2 linked regions of the Sus scrofa genome follow. The protein of the gene in region 2 interacts with the protein of the main gene of each other region in a pairwise test. Links are inferred from orthologs where the notes say so. Each region holds a gene or a part of one and is shown on either strand. Other genes may lie near its edges.

Region 1 (4,275 bases), on a different chromosome or scaffold from region 2:
ATGCTCCAGGCAGTGGCCAAGATCCAGGGGCAAGGCACATACCAGGACTACCTGGAGGGGCTTCGCGTGTTTGACAAAGAGGGGAACGGCAAAGTCATGGGAGCAGAGCTCAGACATGTCCTCACTACCCTGGGTGAGGCAGGGACCAGAACTGTGGGGTGGAGAGGAGGGGGTGAACCAAGAAGAAGGTTAGCCAAGCAGGCAGAGCCAGGGAGGGATTACTGTCCTGGAGGTCATGGGCAGAAGACCGAGAAGGTCAGAGCCTGCTTCTGGGGTACAGATGCCTCCCAAAGGGCAGAGGAAAGGGGATGAGATGGGAGATCTGAGCTTCTATTTTGGAAGAGATGGTTGGCCTCTGTGATATGGTATGTGTCTCTTAATCCTCTGAAATTCAGTTTCCTTGTCTGTGGAGCTTTCACCAGGTGTAACTGAGGTGAAATGGAAAGCAAGATGCTGGGAGGCATTCAAGGCATGCGCATTACAAGGACAGGATTCTCTTGGGGGACTGTTGCTATGGGCAAGTCTCCAGGGTGGGAGAAGAGGTACCACCCAGAAGAATGAGGCCTGGGTTGATGAGGGAGGGAAGGCAGGGGCTAAAACGCTGTGTCTGGGGTTTAGGAGAGAGGATGACTGAAGAGGAGGTGGAGACAGTTCTGGCAGGACATGAGGACAGCAACGGCTGCATCAACTATGAAGGTGAGCGGCTAGGAGCTGAAGAGACAGGGGAAGAGGGGAAGCATGAGGCTCCTCGTATGTGGGGGCGCGTCCTGTGGCCCAAATTATCTAAAGTCAGATGGATTATCAAGACCATCTTCTGAAGCCCCTCTTGCCTCCTCTCTCTGCAGCCTTCCTGAAGCACATCCTGAGCGTCTGAGCTCTACAGGTAGGGCCCTCCCACTTCGCCTTGTGAGGCCAGCCTGCTTCCCTTCCCTCTACCAGAGACATACGTTTCCACGTCCTGCTGCGCGCTTGAGCTCCAGGATTTGGCAACGTTCATCTTTTTCCACAGGTGCAGTGGGGCTCGACAAGGAGTCCCCCTACCCCTCGCGGGCGAAAGCAAGTTCCTGCCGCTAGGAGGCCACCTATTGTTTCAAAATAAAGTGACGGTTCCTCCCCTAAACCTCCGACTCTTGCTTTCTTCAGAGGTGGGGGAGGGAAGGAAGGAAAGGGAGGGATCTCCTCTCCCAAATCCGACATCCCCCGATTTTCCTGCGGCTCGCAGGAGGAGATTCCTTGCGCCCCACCCCACCCTCCTCTGCGGTTTCTGTGCCCCGGGTAGGACTATTCTGAAAAATGAGCCGCAGCGGGCCCCGCCCACCTCCTTACTAATGTAGCAGCAGCATCTGCATAAGACCGGGCCAGGATCCCTATTGGCTGGGTCAACGGAGGGTGACGTCATTGGGACGTACTAAGACTAGGGTTGGGCCGAGAACCGGAGCCATTACTGCAGGAAAAGGTCCCGCAGAGCCAAGCAGTCAAGATGGTGGGGCCCGGGGCTGGGAGGATGAGCGGGATTGGGGGCGAGAGGCGGGAAGCCGGGGGTAGGGGGCGAAGAGAAGGCAGAAGGTAGGGGGCAAAGGGACTTGAGGGTTGGAGGTGGGGTTGGAGATGTTGAGAGCCTGCCCTGCTGGGAAGCGAGAGTGCCCAGGATGGAACAGGAGTTCGTGGTTCAGAGTTCTTGGGACGGGGCTGGAAGCTTGGGGGATTGGAGTTAAGATGCTGATCGCTCCCCTCTTCTCCGAGCAGTGTGACTTCACCGAGGACCAGACCGCAGGTAGGTAATCTCTGACCCCGCTGAGGTCATGCTTAGGGAGAGGGACATTCCTTCTAGCACCTACCCCCTACCTGTCATTTCTTCAGCACCCACAAGGGAGTACCTCGTGGATTCCCTTCTCCCTCCTTCTGGGCCTCCATTTTCTTTTCTCAATCTTTCTTCCTCCCTCCCTTTCTACTCTAGATCTGAGCCCCAAGCACCGGGTGAGTTCTGTAGGTGGTGTGAGCATGTGAAACAGCTTGGCCACCAATGTCTGCCGTGTGTGGGGCTCGGGAGTGATGTATTAAGCTGCTTGTGCTCCTCTGTTCCTTAATCACCTCCTTCTGCCTCTTCTCTCCTCCTGTGCTAACTTTCCCCCTCCCCCAGCTTGGAATTGTGAAGGTTGTAAGAAGCAGTGACCTGTTGTTTTGCTGGTACAGGGGAGTTTGTTGAGGACGCTTCTTTGCAGCTATACTCTCTGAAAGATTTCTTTCTGTACTGAAGGGGTGAGAGTGGCAGGCTGGGATGACCCCAGTCCCAGGCTGCTGCTCCCACTTCCTTATAAGGACAAGGCCCAGACTGGGCGGTGGCAAATTCCTGCCCTGAGTACTGTAGTGAGGAGGCTGGGCAGGCTTGCTGTAGGCAGAGGGGGTATGGAAATGGCAGTTACCACTCTGCCAGGGCTTGAGGAGAGCTGTCTTTATGTGGGACACCTGAGTTGGGAAGAAGGGACACTAGATCCCTCTTAGAGGGCTTGGGTGTACAGTGGTATAAATATCTGGTTTCCTCAGCGTGATTAAAGTTGAATGGGCAACGGGGACTGTGAGGGAGGGTTTGGGTTCATCTGTGCCTGCCAGGTGCTGATGTTTATCCGAATCCTCAGAGTTCAAGGAGGCCTTCCAGCTGTTTGACCGAACAGGGGATGGCAAGATCCTGTACAGCCAGTGTGGGGACGTGATGAGGGCCCTGGGCCAGAACCCCACCAACGCCGAGGTGCTCAAGGTCCTGGGGAACCCCAAGAGTGATGGTAAGAGTCCTCAGAACAACCTGCTCAGCATGGTGGCAGGCCCGCAGTCTCCGGCTAATAGCTTCCTTTTATCTTCCTAGGCCCTGAACTCAAGCAGGTCTTGTCTAGCAAATCCCACAGATTTCTCCTGCCTTGAGTGGGAGCCCCGTAACCTCCAGTAAGAACACACGTGACTTTGCTCTCACCCCCTTTGTGGCAGAGATGAACGTGAAGGTGCTGGACTTCGAGCACTTCCTGCCCATGCTGCAGACTGTGGCCAAGAACAAGGACCAGGGCACCTACGAGGACTATGTCGAAGGCCTGCGGGTGTTCGACAAGGAGGGCAACGGCACCGTCATGGGTGCGGAGATCCGGCATGTTCTTGTCACACTGGGTAAGGCTCCGCCCTTGCTCCTTGAGCTGAGGTGCCACCTGATACACCTCACCTGTCACCCAGTTCCAGAACACTCACTCTTCCCCTCTGCAGGTGAGAAGATGACAGAGGAAGAAGTAGAGATGCTGGTGGCAGGGCATGAGGACAGCAATGGTTGTATCAACTATGAAGGTAAGGGACAAATGGAGGCTCTCACAAACGCAGTGGCTATCAGGGGCAGGTCAGGCACAGTGTTTGGGGCTTTCCTTGTCCCTGGGCTTGGGCTGCACAAAATGCCAGGAGGCAAGGGGCAGGGCCTGGCCCAGCCCAGGAGTGGGAGGCCTGGGGGGTGTGGCAGGAAAGGAAGGGCTCCTGCGGCTTGAAGGGCGGGCAAGGGGTGGGGCGTAAAACCAATGGGTGTCTTGTTCCCTCACCGCCTGATCCCCTTCACCCCACGTCTATGTCTTGTCTTCACCATTAATGTCTCTTCCTTCCTGCAGCGTTTGTGAGGCATATCCTGTCGGGGTGACGGGCCCCGTGGGGCGGGTACGGCTCCTCCCAGCCCCCCCCTTCTCTAGTTGCCCTCCCCAGTGTTTTTCTTCCTGGCCTTTGCTCTCTGGCCCCTGCCCTTCCCCTACTACCATGACTTCCTCCTAGCATGTCTCTGCATGGAGCTGACTGAGGAGGGGGGGTTCTTCAAAGAGGAAGGCAGCCTGGGGGTGTGGTACCTCCTCCTCTCCTAGAATGGGCTCTGAGGTTTTGCTTCTAGGGCGCTGGCGTCTGGGAACTCACACCAGCCTATCCCCGTCTTGCTTCAGGGTGACCCTGTGGCCCGGGAGCATGGGCGGTTGACAGAGGGGGGTGGGTTGCCCGCCCCATGGTGCTGCTGCAGCCGGAGTCGCTTCCCCTTCCTTCTGCTGGGCAGCTTGGAGGTACCCTAACCCAAAACTCTGTCTTTTCCTCCCGCCAATGGCTGACAGTAGCTGTAGGTGTAGCTGAGAACTCTTCTGCTCTGCTGTGTTCTTGCTGCTCAGGGTCGGGTGGGGAACTAACAGCTGGTGGGAGGGGAGCTGGAGGCCGAGAACCAGTCAGACTCAAGGTAGCGCCTCTGCAAACTGACCCCAAGGTGGGTTGCTGTAGGCA
Region 2 (3,560 bases):
TTTAGTTATTTAGAGCTGCTTCACTTATGCATAGACTTTGGCTTCTGGAATTAAAAAGTAATTTTTAAAGTTTTGGCAGCTTTGATTTGTTCCCCTTTCCAGGATAGCTAATTAGATTAGTTATGTAGTTTCTGGCTTTTGATGCAAAGTGTTTTGATAGAACAGATATTTTGGGGATAGGCAGGTATGGCCAAAGCATTCTTACTCAAAGGTTTATAATCAAAGGCTCCTTACTGTAAGGCTTATGATTGAGGGGTTACAAGGTAGTTCATGTGATGAACTACAAATATGGGTTTTTAAACTACCTTTAAGGGGAAAAGTCTTTACTGGGCAAGAAGAAAATTGTCTTCAATATAAGTCATATTTGGAATTCTTGAGAGAGGAGAGACTGTTCAGATTACATCTGGTGGGCAGAAGATTCAAATGAGAAGGGAAGAAAAAGGTTACTGAATAGAATAAATGCAGAAGGCTGAAAGATCTCGAAGGGAAGGAAAAGTTCATCTGAAGAAGAAACGTACCAGAAAAGTCTGAAGATAGTTGACTGGGAGAAGTAGAAAATAACTGGAGAGATGATGGAAAGTGGTGGCTCAGTTTTTCAAAAAAGAGAGATTAGCCATTGGCACATGAAATTAATAGAATTTCTGATTAGATTAGTAGAAGAACCCAAGGGCACATCAGCCAGGTTGGCAGTGTTAGTATAGGTCCATAATTTAAAACCAGAGGATTACCTTTTTTTTAGATAGCCCCTCCTCTAAGCATTTAAGGGCTTTATGAATAGTGTGTATGCCTGAAAGTTCAGGTATGGAGTAAACAACTTGATCTAATGGAAGCTCTGGCTTTAGTGTCCAAAGATCTAGACTCTAATATTTTCTGTTTTGTTAACTTATTTTTTTTTTTTCTTTTGTCTTTTCTAGGGCCGCACCCGCGACATATGGAGGTTCCCAGCTAGGGGTCTAATCAGAACTGTAGCCATCAGCCTATGCCACAGCCACAGCAACGCCAGATCCTCGACCCACACCACAGCTCACAGCAATGCCGCATCCTTAACCCACTGAGCAAGGCCAGGGATCGAACCCGCAACCTCATGGTTCCTAGTCAGATTCGTTAACCACTGAGCCACGACGGGAACTTCTGTTAACTTATTATTTAACTTCAGACAAATCCTGTGTCTCTGAGTGCAGTATGTACACTTCTTACCATGGTTTTTTAATGTGTGGTTGGTATTCTGGTAAATTATGTTCTGCAGTTGTCATACTAGTTATTTGTCTTTGGATCATAGGTACCCTCTTACCAATTATACTTTTGGTACAAAAGAGCCCCTCTATGAGAAGGACAGCTCTGTTGCCGCCAGATTTCAGCGCATGAGGGAGGAATTTGATAAAATTGGCATGAGGAGGACTGTAGAAGGAGTTTTGATTGTCCATGAGCACCGGCTACCCCATGTGTTACTGCTTCAGCTGGGAACAACTTTCTTCAAATTGTAAGTGTCATTGGAAATTAACAGCTTTTAATAGGATTGCTGTTTTATGCAGCTTTGAAATAGTTTTAGCACTAAGTCACTTATCACAACAAACATTGCCGTTAATGGAGTTTTGTTGAGGGTGTTGGCCAATGGCATGCAGGAATCCCTAGGCCAGGGATCCAACCTGTGCCACAGAAGTGACAACACCAGAACCCTAACCTGCTAGGCCACCAGAGAACTCCATATGGAGTCTTCAGGGAAAAAAGTCATAAGGATTTTTTGCCTAACTAGAAATCTGCATGTTTCTATATATTGTTGATGCTAATGACTGAGCCTGATAGAAGCTTCTGGGAAACAAATTAGTCCAAGTTCAATTTCTAAGTGTCATTGTAGCATTACTAAGAACAATTGATACTATTTCTTTCCTAGGATGAATAGTGTTGCTATTCTTAAAATGGCTTATATTTTTATAGGTAATTGTTTAGTTTTCTCATTTAAGTTTAGAAATCTCTCAGTTTATGTATAGTCCACAACTGTTTGACCAGATTGTACTAAAGAATTCTCAAATGAGTTCTTGAAAAATGCCCCATTCTTCAGGTCTAGAGAGTGTGGGTCCACTGCTCTCTGGGCATTTCTAGTCTCCAGATGGCGTCCACGGAGAAAAGATTGGGATGGACTGCTTTCCAGCAGTTATATGATGTTTATGTAGCGGTATATATTTTTTCTGTTTAAAACTAGGGTTTGTGTACTGTTAGTCTGATAAATTAGCCTCATGAATTTGACTTTCTAGCACGTTCTTGACATTTGTTTGCTTTAATTGCTTTATCGTGTAACACTGAAATATGTGTTAAACAGTACTTCATAGAAATGATTATTGTGTCCTTCCTATGATCCCCAATTGTGTTAAGTTGGAAGCTGAAGTTGTTAACCTTTATACAGACCAGGTGGTGAGCTTAACCCAGGAGAAGATGAAGTTGAAGGACTAAAACGCTTAATGACAGAGGTATTTTTCAACTTAACTATTCTGACGATTTCGTTAATGTTCATCTAAATACCATCAACTTAATGCATAATCAGTTTTTTTGTGTCTTGTGAAAAGGATGGGTTTATTTATTTAGTTTTCAATAAATAAAACCTCAAAGTGTTAGTACAGTGTTTATTTTCTGAAAGTTTAACTTATACTTTATCTTAACATTATTTTTCATTGAAATGATGTGGCAGTCATGTTAATGAAATAGCATTTACTGAGTAGTGCTGCTAAACACTGTTCTAAGTGCTTTACATGCAGTAACTCCTTTAATCATTACAACAGCACTAGGAAGTAGGTACTGTTATTAATCCCATTTTATAGATAAGGAAACCATGGCACAGAGGGTTCAAATAACTTGTTTTATGTTATAAAGCTATTATGCCCTGAAGCTGGAGTTTTGAGTGCAGGTGGTTTTGTTCCAAAGTAGGTTTTAATAGACTTTTAACAAGAGAATGATTCCTGTTGTATACTTAATTCCATTTTTGAACATTCCTTTTAAGGCTTTACTCAAATTGTACTAGTTTTTAGAAGTCATTCTAACGTCTGCCTCTAAAGATATGGGGCCAAATGCATAGATGCTGGAGATTTTTGACATTATAGCTTGTATTCATTATTAAATAGTTTTCTTTTTTAGCATGCAGTCCCCACCCCCCCATTACAAACTAATATATATTCTGTGCAAAAACCTTGGCAAATGTAGAAAGTAGAGGGAGAGACAAAACTAAAATCACCTGTAGTCCTATCTCTTTGATCTACTGGTTTGCCTTTGTAGTATTTTTTAAATGTGTAAAAGCTTTTAAATATTGTACATATGGTAGTTATACTTACCCCAGCTTTTTCTCAAAACTCCACCAAAAAACAGTTAAGGTGTTTTAGAAGATAGAAATCCAGTAGTATTGAGGGAGTGCAAAATGAGACAGAAGCAAGAACAAATTTTTAGAAGCTGGAAAGCAGATGAGCAAATCATAACTGACCTAGCAGAAACCTCAGCACAGCAGAAGGGCAGTCAGGACCCAGCACTGCAGAACACCAGAAAGGCTACGGGGTTGGAGGTGCCTGGTGCCTGTG

What was found. The genes of interacting proteins can lie anywhere in the genome.
Region 1: the proteins of NUDT21 (region 2) and MYL6 interact in binary tests that used the Homo sapiens proteins (3 or more experiments, as listed by UniProt). The two-hybrid records come from large-scale screens. The link is inferred for Sus scrofa from reciprocal best matches to the Homo sapiens genes NUDT21 and MYL6.

The regions. Positions count from the first base shown.
Region 1 is NC_010447.5:21,557,876-21,562,150, forward strand, and holds the start of MYL6 (myosin light polypeptide 6), read left to right. Parts: upstream 1-1,449; 5' UTR 1,450-1,480; coding exon 1,481-1,483; intron 1,484-1,746; coding exon 1,747-1,774; intron 1,775-1,957; exon of another isoform or gene 1,958-1,977; intron 1,978-2,636; coding exon 2,637-2,780; intron 2,781-2,979; coding exon 2,980-3,153; intron 3,154-3,246; coding exon 3,247-3,324; coding exon of another isoform or gene 3,325-3,515; exon of another isoform or gene 3,516-3,632; coding exon 3,633-3,661; 3' UTR 3,662-3,678; exon of another isoform or gene 3,679-4,275. Other genes in the region: MYL6B (myosin light chain 6B), read left to right, coding at 1-133, 619-696, 846-874. UniProt on the Homo sapiens protein: Regulatory light chain of myosin. Does not bind calcium.
Region 2 is NC_010448.4:29,342,867-29,346,426, forward strand, and holds part of NUDT21 (cleavage and polyadenylation specificity factor subunit 5), read left to right. Parts: intron 1-1,279; coding exon 1,280-1,480; intron 1,481-2,401; coding exon 2,402-2,465; intron 2,466-3,560. UniProt on the Homo sapiens protein: Component of the cleavage factor Im (CFIm) complex that functions as an activator of the pre-mRNA 3'-end cleavage and polyadenylation processing required for the maturation of pre-mRNA into functional mRNAs.